Macaca mulatta: one gene and its partners. The protein of the gene in region 1 purifies or fractionates together with the protein of each later gene. This does not show direct contact. Links are inferred from orthologs where the notes say so. Each region holds a gene or a part of one and is shown in the gene's direction. Other genes may lie near its edges.

The links.
Region 2: the proteins of TOP2A (region 1) and SRPK1 fractionate together in Homo sapiens (co-fractionation; 3 studies listed by BioGRID and IntAct, with this or other methods). This does not show direct contact. The link is inferred for Macaca mulatta from reciprocal best matches to the Homo sapiens genes TOP2A and SRPK1.
Region 3: the proteins of TOP2A (region 1) and CTCF purify together in Homo sapiens (affinity purification with mass spectrometry; 3 studies listed by BioGRID and IntAct, with this or other methods). This does not show direct contact. The link is inferred for Macaca mulatta from reciprocal best matches to the Homo sapiens genes TOP2A and CTCF.

The regions. Positions count from the first base shown.
Region 1 is NC_133421.1:64,769,728-64,774,214, reverse strand, and holds part of TOP2A (DNA topoisomerase 2-alpha), read left to right. Parts: intron 1-585; coding exon 586-738; intron 739-985; coding exon 986-1,109; intron 1,110-1,218; coding exon 1,219-1,262; intron 1,263-2,000; coding exon 2,001-2,135; intron 2,136-3,456; coding exon 3,457-3,656; intron 3,657-4,296; coding exon 4,297-4,425; 3' UTR 4,426-4,487. UniProt on the Homo sapiens protein: Key decatenating enzyme that alters DNA topology by binding to two double-stranded DNA molecules, generating a double-stranded break in one of the strands, passing the intact strand through the broken strand, and religating the broken strand.
Region 2 is NC_133409.1:146,367,836-146,372,322, forward strand, and holds part of SRPK1 (SRSF protein kinase 1), read left to right. Parts: intron 1-261; coding exon 262-370; intron 371-1,069; coding exon 1,070-1,157; intron 1,158-2,340; coding exon 2,341-2,428; intron 2,429-4,487. UniProt on the Homo sapiens protein: Serine/arginine-rich protein-specific kinase which specifically phosphorylates its substrates at serine residues located in regions rich in arginine/serine dipeptides, known as RS domains and is involved in the phosphorylation of SR splicing factors and the regulation of splicing.
Region 3 is NC_133425.1:63,169,560-63,174,046, forward strand, and holds part of CTCF (transcriptional repressor CTCF), read left to right. Parts: intron 1-2,360; coding exon 2,361-2,481; intron 2,482-3,115; coding exon 3,116-3,265; intron 3,266-4,487.

The DNA.
Region 1 (4,487 bases):
AGATCTCACTCTGTCTCCCAGGCTGCAGTATAGTGGCATGATCATAGCCCACTGTAGCCTCAACTTCCTAGGCTCAAACTGTCCTCCCACCTCAGCCTCCCTAGTGGCTAGAACCACAGGCACACTCCACTATGCCCACTAATGTCTGTATTTTTTGTAGAGATGGGGTTTGGCCATGTTGTCTAGGCTGGTCTTGAGCTCCTGCGCTCAAGTGATGCACCTACCTCACCCTCCCAAAGTGCTGAGATTGTAAGTGTGAGCCACCACACCCAGCTAAGACAGGGTCTTGTATCTTACCCCAGCTGATCTCAAACCCCTGGGCTCAAGTAATCCTCCTGCCCCAGCCTCCCAAAGTGTTGGGATTACAGGCATGAGCCACTGTGCCTGGCCACATTGTATTTATTTATAAGATTAAGTGACCAAGCTATATGCACCACAAAAACAGGGACCATATCTGTTTCTTTTCACGATTGTATTCTCAGAACTATCACAGCGGTTAATAAATTTGAAGCATAGATGGATGATAGATGGAGAAAAGTGAGTCTCAGAATATATAAAGGTGGTTGATTTCTATCTCTCCTCTAGGTACAAAGACAAAGAAACAAACTACATTGCCATTTAAGCCAATCAAAAAAGGAAAGAAGAGAAATCCCTGGTCTGATTCAGAATCAGATAGGAGCAGTGACGAAAGTAATTTTGATGTCCCTCCACGAGAAACAGAGCCACGAAGAGCAGCAAGTAAGGAAAACTAAAGAACATTATAGATAAGCTGTAAGAGTGGAATGGCCAATATACTTCAGGGTACTTTGCCCCAGAAATTACTGTGTCTTAATAGAGCAGTAAATTAAAGTAAGTTAAAGCTTTGAAACACTGAAGCATCTTTCAGGAGATTAAAAACTAAAATATTCATGAAATGTTATATCAACCTATGAATTAAGTGTTTCTCCTACTACCCTCTGATTTTTTGTATATGTTTTTTTACTAGCAAAAACCAAATTCACAGTGGATTTGGATTCAGATGAAGATTTCTCAGATTTTGATGAAAAAACTGATGATGAAGATTTTGTCCCATCAGATGCTAGTCCACCTAAGACCAAAACTTCCCCAAAGTAAGTATCTTTTCTAATATGGGTTTTTGTCATGATTGTTTCTAATATATTGTTTTTTGCTTAACACCTTTAGAATTGGTTGTCAGGATTTTTTTTTTTTTAATTCTAGACTTACTAACAGAGATCTGAAACCACAGAAAAGGGCTATGTCAGGTATGTATCTAAGTAAAAGCAGTGAGACATCTGCCTTACTGGGACACTCAGATCCAACTGGGTTCTAATCCTGGCTACATTATCCAAGTACTTCCTTTGGAAATAAATTTGAGTTCTTAATAACATTATGTTGACACTGTTCGTTGGGTTTAGTTTCACATGTAAATAGGTACTGCATTCAGTATACTAAAAGTAATCATAGTGCTTGCCAGGTACTTTGCTAGGTGCTAGAGATACAAAAAATAAAAACTGTTCTTGCTGATAAAAAATTCAGAAATTAGAACAAAGTTTTAAGAGTATGTTTTAGGCTGGGCATGGTGGCTCACACCTGTAATCCCAGCACTTTGGGAGGCCGAGGTGGGTGGATCACCTGAGGTCAGGAGTTCGTGACAAGCCTGGCTAACACAGTGAAACCCCGCCTCTACTAAAAATACAAAAAATTAGCCAGGCGTGGTGGCGGGCACCTGTAGTCCCAGCTACTTGGGAGGCTGAGGCAGGAGAATGGTGTGAACCCGGGAGGCGGAGCTTGCAGTGAGCCGAGATCAAGCCACTGCACTCCAGCCTGGGCAACAGAGCAAGACTCCATCTCAAAAAATAAAAAAAAAAGTATGTTTTAAATATTCCAGAAAAGTCACATATTTGGTGTTTAAATAGGAATTCATACCAAGCACAAAGCAGAAAATGGATTTTCATGTGTTGGCTTAAATGTACTATTTTCCTTTCCATTTGAAATGATAGACCTTGAAGCTGATGATGCTAAGGACAGTGTACCACTGTCTTCAAGCCCTCCTGCTACACATTTCCCAAATGAAACTGAAATTACAAACACAGTTCCTAAAAAGAATGTGACAGTGAAGAAGACAGCAGCAAAAAGTAAGCCTAAATCTTTGAGATGGGTTAATGTTGCAATTAACTAACTGGTTTTCACGTGGCAATTTCAATTTTTTATTGCCAAAACTTACTGTTGATATTACAAATTAAACCTTTTCCAAATGGAAGCAATTTCTTTTAGATCTTTATAATCAAAATTAGTAGTCAAGGCTGGTCCTGATTGTTCATTCAGTTACAGATCAAACTCCTTGTTCTACTCTTTTCCCTCCTTCTCACTACTGCACTTGACTAGTCAAAACACAAAACAAAACAAAAGCCAGGCAGAGTGGCTCATACCTGTAATCCCAGCGCTTTGGGAGGCTAAAGCAAGAGGATCGCTTGAGGCCAGGAGTTCAAGGCTGCAGTGAGCTATGATCAAGCCACTGCACTCCAGCCTGAGTGAGAGAGTGAGACCCTGTCTCCAAAAATAAGGTAGTCCAAATGTTTAAAATCAGCGTGTTTCTCTCAGTACCAGGCTTCATCTAGTTCATTTCTATGACAAGGATAGGATTTATAAGCAATTGCAAATGTTTAATGTAAAACATATTCTTAAAATTGAATGTTTAAGGCTGGATGCAGTGGTTCATGCCTGTAATCCCAGCACTTTGGGAGGCCTAGGTGGGTGGATCACCTGAGGTCAGGATTTCGAGACTAGCCTGGCCAATATAGTGAAACCTCGTCTCTACTAAGAATACAAAATTAGCCAGGTGTGGTGGCACATGCCTGTAGTCAGCTACTCGGGAGGCTGAAACGGGAGAATCGCTTGAACCCAGGAGGCAGAGGCTACAGTGAGCTGAGATCGTGCCACTGCATTCCAACCTGGGCGAGATAGAGCAAGACGCTATCTCAAAAAAAAAAAAAATAGAATGTTTAAGAATACTTTGATTCTCTATTTTCACCTCTCTTAGATTGTCTTTTCCTATGTTAAATATACACAGTCATCACATTGCTGAAGAAAGTTCACAATGAGAACAATTCATCTAAGAGTGGCTATGACTAGGTCGGGCGCAGTGGCTCATGCCTGTAATCCCAGCACTTTGGGAGCCCAAGGCAAGTGGATCACCTGAGGTCAGGAGTTTGAGACCAGCTTGACCAACATGGTAGAACACCATCTCTACTAAAAATACAAAAAATTAGCCAGGTGTGGTGGCACGTGCCTGTAATCCCAGCTACTCAGGAGGCTGAGGCAGGAGAATCGCTTGAACCCAGGAGGCAGAGGTTGCAGTGAGCCAAGATAATGCCATTGCACTCCAGCCTGGGCGATAGAGTGAGACCCCATCTCAAAAAAAGAGCGGCTGTAACAAATGCCTGTATTGAATTGCAGGTCAGTCTTCCACCTCCACTACCGGTGCCAAAAAAAGGGCTGCCCCTAAAGGAACTAAAAAGGAACCAGCTTTGAATTCTGGTATCTCTCAAAAGCCTGATCCTGCCAAAACCAAGATTCGCCGCAAAAGGAAGCCATCCACTTCTGATGATTCTGACTCTAATTTTGAGAAAATTGTTTCAAAAGCAGTCACAAGCAAGGTGAGTGTTGATTCTAGTCAGTCCTTTTGCTGTAGGTGTTCTGAAACACGTAACTAAGCCATTGCTCTTAATAATTTGGCATGTCGCCGGGCGCGGTGGCTCAAGCCTGTAATCCCAGCACTTTGGGAGGCCGAGACGGGCGGATCACAAGGTCAGGAGATCGAGACCATCCTGGCTAACACGGTGAAACCCCGTCTCTACTAAAAAATACAAAAAACTAGCCGGGCGAGGTGGCGGGCGCCTGTGGTCCCAGCTACTCCGGAGGCTGAGGCAGGAGAATGGCGTAAACCCGGGAGGCGGAGCTTGCAGTGAGCTGAGATCCGGCCACTGCACTCCAGCCTGGGCGACAGAGCCAGACTCAGTCTCAAAAAAAAAAAAATAAATAAATAAAATAATTTGGCATGTCTTTAAGAAAATTAACTCTCATAATCTGTTAGCTTTTACTGTACATATTTAGTTTTAACAAAGTTAAATAATGTCACTTATTTGGGCAATGGAAGAGTTGGCTTTAGATCTGCTTTTTATTACTTAGTAGAAAGTAGAAAACTCCTTGAATGTAGTGTCTTGATACATTTTTTTAACATTACAATTATGTCGTCAGATTTACATTGTACAAATTACCTGGGCTTTTCTCTTTTAGAAATCCAGGGGGGAGAGTGATGACTTCCATATGGACTTTGACTCAGCTGTGGCTCCTCGGGCAAAATCTGTGCGGGCAAAGAAACCTATAAAGTACCTGGAAGAGTCAGATGAAGATGATCTGTTTTAAAATGTGAGGTGATTATTTTAAGTAATTATCTTACTGAGCCCAAGACTGGTTTTAAAGTTACC
Region 2 (4,487 bases), on another chromosome or scaffold:
TACAACCTTTTTATTGTTTTTGGATGAGGCTGTTGTAGGCTCAATCTAAATCATTAATCCTATTCACTTTTTTTATAACATGAAGTCAGTAATACTATGTGGCTGATTTGACTATTAAGGCTTTCTTCTGTTGAATTGATTGTATAAAAGAAACTTTTTGTTGATAAAAGGTATATAGATGTTGAAAAATGTGATGTAAAAATGCCTTTTCTTACCATTGTTTCTCGTCCTGGTTTTTCTGATTTCCCCTGTGTCTTCCAGGAGGTTATCATCTTGTGAAAATTGGAGATCTATTCAATGGGAGATATCATGTGATCCGAAAGTTAGGCTGGGGACACTTTTCAACAGTATGGTTATCATGGGATATTCAGTAAGTTTTAGTGGTTCTGTAAAAAAATTAGTTAGATGATGTCTAAATATGTTTGTCTGAGTTTCCACTGCTGATCCAGACTTCAATCTATCTCTAGCCTGATACATTTATCAGAATTTTGTTGTTGGCAATAGTCTCTATATTCTTGGAGAAATCACTTTTCTTTCGTGAAGAATCGGTATTATATATCTCCCTTTCTACTTTAGAGACAAGAGTGATTAAATTAATGCTGGTAAAGCTTTTGTCGTTTGATTTTTTTGTTATTTTTATCGTTTTCTTTTCACCCAAATATTTCTTCTGGCTGCCTGTGGGAAAATATTACAGCTATTAACCTTTTAGTTTTTGCCTATATACAGATACACAGAACACTTGGAATTTGGTAATATCTTTCCCCTTATTTATCCTCATTTTGAAGTTTTGCTTGAAATTCAGGGAGATATTCAAAAGAAGGATTTTAACTCAGAGAAAATGTTCAACAACTGAGATTATCTGAGAACAGATCTTTTATTCTTCCTACAAATGAAATCTGGCCAGTTAGCATCATTAACAAGTACAAATGTTCCCATAGAAGTAGCTTGTTTGGGCTACAGGGAAACATGAAATCAGTATTTGTCCTTTTTAACCATCTTATAGCTAAACCTTAGCTTCCTAAAGTAAGGGTAGGCTATGTAGTCTTAATTGCCTGTGTTTGTTTCTTAGGGGGAAGAAATTTGTGGCAATGAAAGTAGTTAAAAGTGCTGAACATTACACCGAAACAGCACTCGATGAAATCCGGTTGCTGAAGTCAGTGAGTATTAGATTATATGTATGAATGCAAAGAATTATAAATATATCAAGTTTCATTGAATTAAAGCACACCAAGTGGAGACTCCTCAGCATGGATAATTTTCTCTATAAAGTTCTAGTATCCTTAAAGAGGTTAAGGAAGACAACAATATTTACACATTCCATGCATGTAGTAGGGAACTGGTGGGAAATGCTATGATTAGAATTCTTACACACATGAACCAAAAAAAACCTTTCAAATGAATAAAAATATTCACTGAGCATGTTTTACAGGCCAGGTAACTACTGTCATAATGTTTTTCTTTCCTACTATGGTTAAAAGGAAAGTTGTGTAAATAAATGTATAGCATCTTTTTTGTTGTTTTCAAATATGTTATAGAATACATAATATAAAAATACTGTATTTACTGATTCCATTTATACCTGGAAACTGAGATAAATTCTATAAAAAATGTACTTTTAATTTTGTTTTAAATTAGGAATATGCCATTGTGGTAGAAGGAACTTAAACTCAGAATTAGAAAACCTGGGTTTAGGTCACCTTTACCCCGATATGTTCTCCATGTTACCGTGTTTTTCTTTCTGAGTTTTAGATTTTTTATTCATAAAGTGAGAATGTTGCACCAGGAGATTTCTATGGCAGTACTTTTCTTATTTTCGACTCCTGGCCTCAAGTGATCTGCCTTATTAGCCTCCAGAGTAACTGGGGTTACAGGCACAAGCCACTGCACCTGGCTTAAGACAGTACTTTTCAGAATGTCCGTTTGTGACAAGTTTAGGAGCCTTGTACCTACCCAAAAGTAAATACTGTTTTCTTCATTGAGAAAGTTTTTCCATGAAAAAAAAAATGTTGGCTGAAATAAACAGTGCTGTTGGTGCTATAGTTGATTCGCATCCTGCAAAAGCTGCTTAGTTCCTCATAGCCTGGTAATCTGCAGTTAATTTGGAGGCCACACTTTGATATCAGGGAGCAAAATAGTTTAGCAAAATTAGAAAAATAGTTCCTGTTGGTTGTATTTCCTCTTATGAATTGACTAAGATTTTTCTCCATTAAAGCTATTGAAATTTTAGTATATTTTAAAGATAGATTTATGTGAGCTCTTTCTTGTAGTTAATTTGCTGTAAGTATTCTTCCCATACCATTTGGCTTATTTCCATGCTTTACTCTCTTTTCCCCACTACAGGTTCGCAATTCAGACCCTAATGATCCAAACAGAGAGATGGTTGTTCAACTACTAGATGACTTTAAAATATCAGGAGTTAATGGAACACGTATCCTTTTAAAAACCTATTTGAGAATAAATCATCCCAATCCCAAAGAAAGGAACTAGATTTGTTGTGTAGATGGCCTTGGTGTCTTTTCTCAAGGCAAACTATAATAAAATTACCTCTTTTATTGTACACTTCTGAACACAGCTCTGAATTTTGTCTGATTTTGTGTGGTGTGATTTTTCAGGATATTGCTTTAAGTTTTTTGTCCCCTTTTCAGGCAATTAGACCGAAATCAAAGAAACTTTTAGAAAATGCCTTGTATCACCAAGTAAAGAATCTATGATTTTTGTTAGCACAGAAACCTTAAGGGAAGTAATTTATTATGAAAAATAGTGTGTTGGCTGGGCATGGTGGCTCACACCTGTAATCCCAGCACTTTGGGAGACCGAGGCAGGTGGATAACCTGAGGTCAGGAATTCGAGACCCACCTGGCAAACATGGTGAAACCCTGTTTCTACTAAAATACAAGAATTAGCTGGGCGTGGTGACAGGCTCCTGTAATCCCAGCTACTGGGCAGGCTGAGGCTGGAGAATCACTTGAACCCGGGAGGCAGAGGTTGCAGTGAGCCGAGATTGAGTCCACTGCACTCCAGCCTGGGCGACAGAGCCGGACTCTGTCTTAAAAAAAAAAAAAAAAAAAAAGATACTGTCTAAAAGAAAGAAAGAGAAAGAGAAAGAAAGGAAGAAACTGGGTAAACAATTTAAAGTATGATTGTATTTATTATACTAAGCCTCAACTTTGAAGAGGCTGTGAATGTAGATTATGTTTAGAGTCTAAAAGGGTGTAATTATTCGTGTTCTGTTATAATGAAAAACTGACTTGTTTTATGTTTTTATCTGGATTTTTAGAATTGTAGAATTGGAAGGAACTGTAGCTGATTTTCTTCACAGGTATCAAAGTGATGTGCGGTGGGCTAATTGAAAAGTTGTTGAAACAGCTATGCTTATAAAGGTCAATCAGATTTTTCAGTAAAAGTTGAAGTCGAATCTTACTTAGATTGGAGAATCTAAAATACCTGTTTATAAGCTAGTCTTAAAATGTATAAAGACATTTCATATATTATTTTACTTTTCATGCATGTTTAGCTTCCTTTAATGCACATTCCTAATTGCTGTTGATCTTTTTTTATTTAAAGGAGACAGGATTACATGTGACTGTAGTTTCATGTAGACTATGGGAAGAGATTTGAACAGAGAAGCAGGAAGGAAGTTGGAAAGGAGAGAAAACAGTTGATAATGTGGAAAGACTATTGTTCTAAAGTCAATTCTGAGTCATTTCTTAGAAAAATACAAATCACAGATCCCCCAGATGTCTAAGGAAAACTGCTGCAACCATCTTAAAACAGTATCTTGTGCTTATTGTGGTCATTTTGTAGATGGCTTTCTCTCTCTCTCTCTCTCTGTTTTCAAAGAATTAATAATTCTAACCAAGAAATTTTTAAAAAACACACACAGGGTGTCATGATGGCCGTATCTGTTTTTTCTATTATTTAATCTTGTAATGTTTTTCATTGTGCCAGATTTCTTTACTAATTTGCGAAAGTTCCAAGTAAAACTATAGAAATACTCTCAAATCTCCCCGGTAATGCTGAGTACCTTTATTTGACCCTAACTAAGCAAAGAAGGCTTTTTAACTATTGAAATATCTTAGTATGTTTGAATTTCAAGTTCCAAGATATTTTTCTTTTCTTTTTCTTTTTTTTTTTAGATGGAGTTTCATTCTTGTTCCCTAGGCTGGAGTTCAATGGCACGATTTCGGCTTGCCATAACCTCTGCCTCCCGGGTTCAAATGATTCTCCTGCCTTAGCCTTCCAAGTAGCTGGGATTACAGATGCATGCCACCATGCCCAGCTAATTTTGTATTTTTCATAGAGACGGGGTTTCTCCATGTTGGTCAGGCTGGTCTCACACTCCTGACCTCAGGTGATCTGCCCGCCTCGGCCTCCCAGAGTGCTGGGATAACAGGTGTGAGCTACTGCGCCCTGCCCTCAAGATATTTTTCAAACATTGCTAGGTGATTTCTCTGTAGCTTCTGTCCATTGATTCCCTATTTTCTTTT
Region 3 (4,487 bases), on another chromosome or scaffold:
ACTGTTATTTCTTGCAGAGAGATTTGCTTACAGAGAAAATCTAAGAGTATCAAAACAAAAACTTAGAGCGGGAAGAGTTCAGTTCACTGACCAGATATAAGATAAGCATACAGAAATCAGTAACTTCTATAGTGATAGGAAGGTGTAAAATGGATTCTAATAGCAATAAAATAACTTAGGGATAAACTGAACAACAAAAAACAGTATCTGGCTGGGCATGATGGCTCACGCCTGTAATCCCAGCACTTTGGGAGGCCGAGGCGGACAGATCACTAGGTCAGGAGATCGAGACCATCCTGGCTAACACAAACAAAATACAAAAAATTAGCTGGGCGTGGTGGTGGTCACCTGTAGTCCCAGCTACTCAGGAGGCTGAGGCAGGAGAATGGGGTGAACCCAGGAGGCGGAGCTTGCAGTGAGCCGAGGTCATGCCACTGACCTCCAGCCTGGGCGACAGAGCGAGACTCTGTCTCAAAAACAACAACAACAATATCTATGAAATCTACATGAAGAAAACCTCAAGCTTTTCCAAAGGACATGAATAAATGAAGAAACATTACAAGTTAATTCTAACTTTCAGCTGGAAGAATAAATGTGAATGGCTAAGATAAATTTGAAAATAGAATGAGGGGCTTATGTAATTGGATTTTGTAAAACTATAGTAAATGAAACCAGTGTGATATTGCAGCAGGAATAGATAGCTCATTGGAACAGAGTGGGTTCTGGTACATACGAGTTAACAGGTTAAATAGGGAAATCTTGAAGGAAGAGAGTTAGTAATGCTATTAGGATAGTTATCGACTTATGTGTTGAAAACTTGGTGTGTAACACTTATAACTGGGGCCGGACATGGTAGCTCACCCCTATAATCCCAGCACTTTGGGAAACCAAGGCGGGTTGGTCACCTGAGATCAGGAGTTCGAGACCAGCCTGACCAACATGGTGAAACCCCATCTCTACTAAAGATACAAAAGTTAGCCAGGCGTCGTGGTGTGTGCCTGTAGTCTCAGCTACTTGGGAGGCCAAGCCAGGAGAATTGCTTGACTCTGGGAGGTGGAGGTTGCAGTGACCCACAATCGTGACACTGCACTCCAGCCTGGGCAACAGAGCGAGATTTCATCTCAAAAGAGAAACCAACAACACTTAAGAGTGCAGTGCTTGTTTTTGTTTGTTTGTTTTTTCCTTAAAATTGGGAAATTTTTTAAATTTTTCAAAACAAACATTGAAACATTAGTGAATGTTCAAAGCGCTTTTTGGGGCAGGGGGTGCGTGGGGGACAGGGTCTCTCACTCTGTCGCCCAGGCTGGAGTGCAGTGGTGTGATCATGGCTCACTGTAGCCTTAAACTACTGGGATCAGGTGATCCTCCCACTTTAGCTGCTCCTCATGTAACTGGGACTACGGGCATGTACCACCACACCCATCTAATTTTTGTATTTTTTGTAGAGACAGGGTTTTGCCATGTTGCCCAGGCTGGTCTCGAACTCCTGACCTCAAGTGATCTGCACACGCCTTGGCCTGCCAAAGTGCTGGGATTACAGGTGTGAGCCACCGCACCCTGCCCTCAAAGCACTTCGTAGAATCAAGTTTGAAAGTCACTGTTTTAGTATAAGGTATCCTGCAGGGGACTAAAGGATGGATAATGGGAGGATGATAGATGAGAGGCCCTTCGAGCCTGGCCTGTCTAGAAAACCCTAATGATAGGAAAAGAGGATGAGTGGAATTAAAACATGTATTCAGTAACTCAGGATTTGGAACAAATTGATCTGTAAATAGGCATGGATTAGTTTTAAACTATTACGGAAAATTTCAAACATGTAGAAGTAAAGATTGTAATACATCCTCATGTGCCTACCACCCAGCTTAAACAGTTACTAGTCACATGCAATCTTTTTTTTAAGACAGTTTTGCTCTTGCTGCCCAGGTTGGAGTGCAATGGCATGATCTTGGGTCACTGCGACCTCCACCTTCTGGGTTCAAGAGATTCTCCAGCCTCAGTCTTCCGAGTAGGTGTGTGCCACCATGCCTGGCTAATTTTTGTATTTTTAGTAGATAGGGGGTCTCAGCATGTTGGCCAGGCTGGTCTTGAACTCCTGACCTCAGATGATCCGCCCACCTTGGCTTCCCAAGTAATGACCAGTCTTGACTCATCTACACCCGTATTCATTTACCCACTTCTCTTAGATAATGATAAGGATTCGAGAAGCAAAGTTTACAAATAATGAAGAGAGAAGGTTATCTTTTAGACTTCTTCTGTATTCTGAATTTCAGTGCTCCAAAGCTAAGCTTTTGTGCCTAACCTACAGTGCTCATGTTACAGTCTGTGTTAACAGAAGTTAAAGTTTTGTTTTCATATTTCAGGTCAGCAAATTAAAACGTCACATTCGCTCTCACACTGGAGAGCGTCCATTTCAGTGCAGTTTGTGCAGTTATGCCAGCAGGGACACATACAAGCTGAAAAGGCACATGAGAACCCATTCAGGTAGGACTTCTCCACTCCTTACTGTATTAATGAGCTGCTTTTCAGTGAATCCCATGGGACCCTGTGGACCACTGTGTGCCCCCATTGTTTATGCAAATGGAAGACTGGCATGAAAATAGTATGGAATTGATTAATGCTTCTCTGGCATATCCTCTGAATTCATTGTTCGGAAAATACATTAGAAAATAGTACCTTTTGTTTTGTTCAACTTGAATCTGCCTATAACAAGAAAATAATACTTTTTAAGGGAGAAATTAAGTTAAAATGGACAGATTTTAATTTTGAAAGTCTGGGTGGATTTCCTAACCCACCTTATTCAGTTTTCCTGGATACTGCCTTTTCTTAAAAAGAAAAACTTGTGGGTTCCCCATTCAGTCTTCCCCAAAGGTAAGCATTGCTGTAATGTGGAGGATTCCAGAGCAGAGCTGGACAGAGCAGAGGTGGCCAGTAGCAGTTTAGGACTTGGCCATGTCTGAAGATAGACATGATCTGGGCACTGGGACTGAGCCTCAGCCTTCCTGAGACCTGTAGATTCTCTGTGATGTAGCATATCTGCCACCTGAGTTACCCTCCAATTAAATTACAGTATTTATTCATTTCATTTAATGTGTTCAATTCTGTATTTTCTTTAAAGGAGAAAAGCCTTATGAATGTTATATTTGTCATGCTCGGTTTACCCAAAGTGGTACCATGAAGATGCACATTTTACAGAAGCACACAGAAAATGTGGCCAAATTTCACTGTCCCCACTGTGACACAGTCATAGCCCGAAAAAGTGATTTGGGTAAGTAGATCAGTGACAAGTGAAAAACATATTTTGAAGGATTTATATTTTGAAATATGGGGATCATAAATAACTTCACCTTCTGACTCTCATACATTTTATGTATAGGAATGGCCTGTCACTTAGTAAAAGCCATTGCTTAGCTACTTTTTTTTTTTTTTTTTTCCTGTTTCTTCTTTTTCTTACTGTAGTCAGGCCACAAGATTCTGTCCTGAATAAAACTCATCTATAAGTTAATGGGAGCTGTGATGGGAGGAAACAGAGTACACCTTTTTTTTTTTTTTTTTTGAGACGGAGTCTCGCTCTGTCGCCCAGGCTGGGGTGCAGTGGCCAGATCTCAGCTCACTGCAAGCTCCGCCTCCCGGATTCCCGCCATTCTCCTGCCTCAGCCTCCCGAGTAGCTGGGACTACAGGCGCCCGCCACCTCGCCCGGCTAGTTTTTTGTACTTTTTAGTAGAGACGGGGTTTCACCGTGTTAGCCAGGATGGTCTCGATCTCCTGACCTCGTGATCCGCCCGTCTCGGCCTCCCAAAGTGCTGGGATTACAGGCTTGAGCCACTGCGCCCGGCCCACCTTTAATTAGTAGCCCTCCTTCCCCAAATAGGAAAGTAACATAGTGTAATTCAAACTCAGGTCATTCTATTGTATTTTTTTGAGAACATCTGTACTTTCTCTAAGTAATGGGACTATTTTATTGGTTTAGTAGCAACTGTTTTTCTGTGCATAAACTAGAGTTTACATAGATATGGAGTTTATTAATAATATTTAGGCCGGCACGGTGGCTCACGCCTGTAATCCCAGCACTTTGGGAGGCCAAGGCAGGTGGATCACAAGGTCAGGAGATCGAGACCATCCTGGCTAACAAGGTGAAACCCCGTCTCTACTAAAAATAAAAAAAATTAGCGGGCATGGTGGTGGGCATCTGTAATCCCAGCTACTCGGGACTCTGAGGCAGGAGAATGGTGTGAACTTGGGGGACGGAGCTTGCAGTAAGCCGAGATCGCACCACTGCACTCTAGCCTGGGCAACAGGGCGAGACACTGTCTCAAAAAAAAAAAAAAAAAAAAACACATTTAGTGTAACTCATACAGAAAGATAGTCACTTGGATTGCCTGCTGTGTTTTTTTTATTCAAAGCAGAAATAAGTATTGCCCATTGTTTTACTTTTTTGCTCATTGAATTTCACAACAACCATATGAAGTAATGAAGGCTCATCTTACTC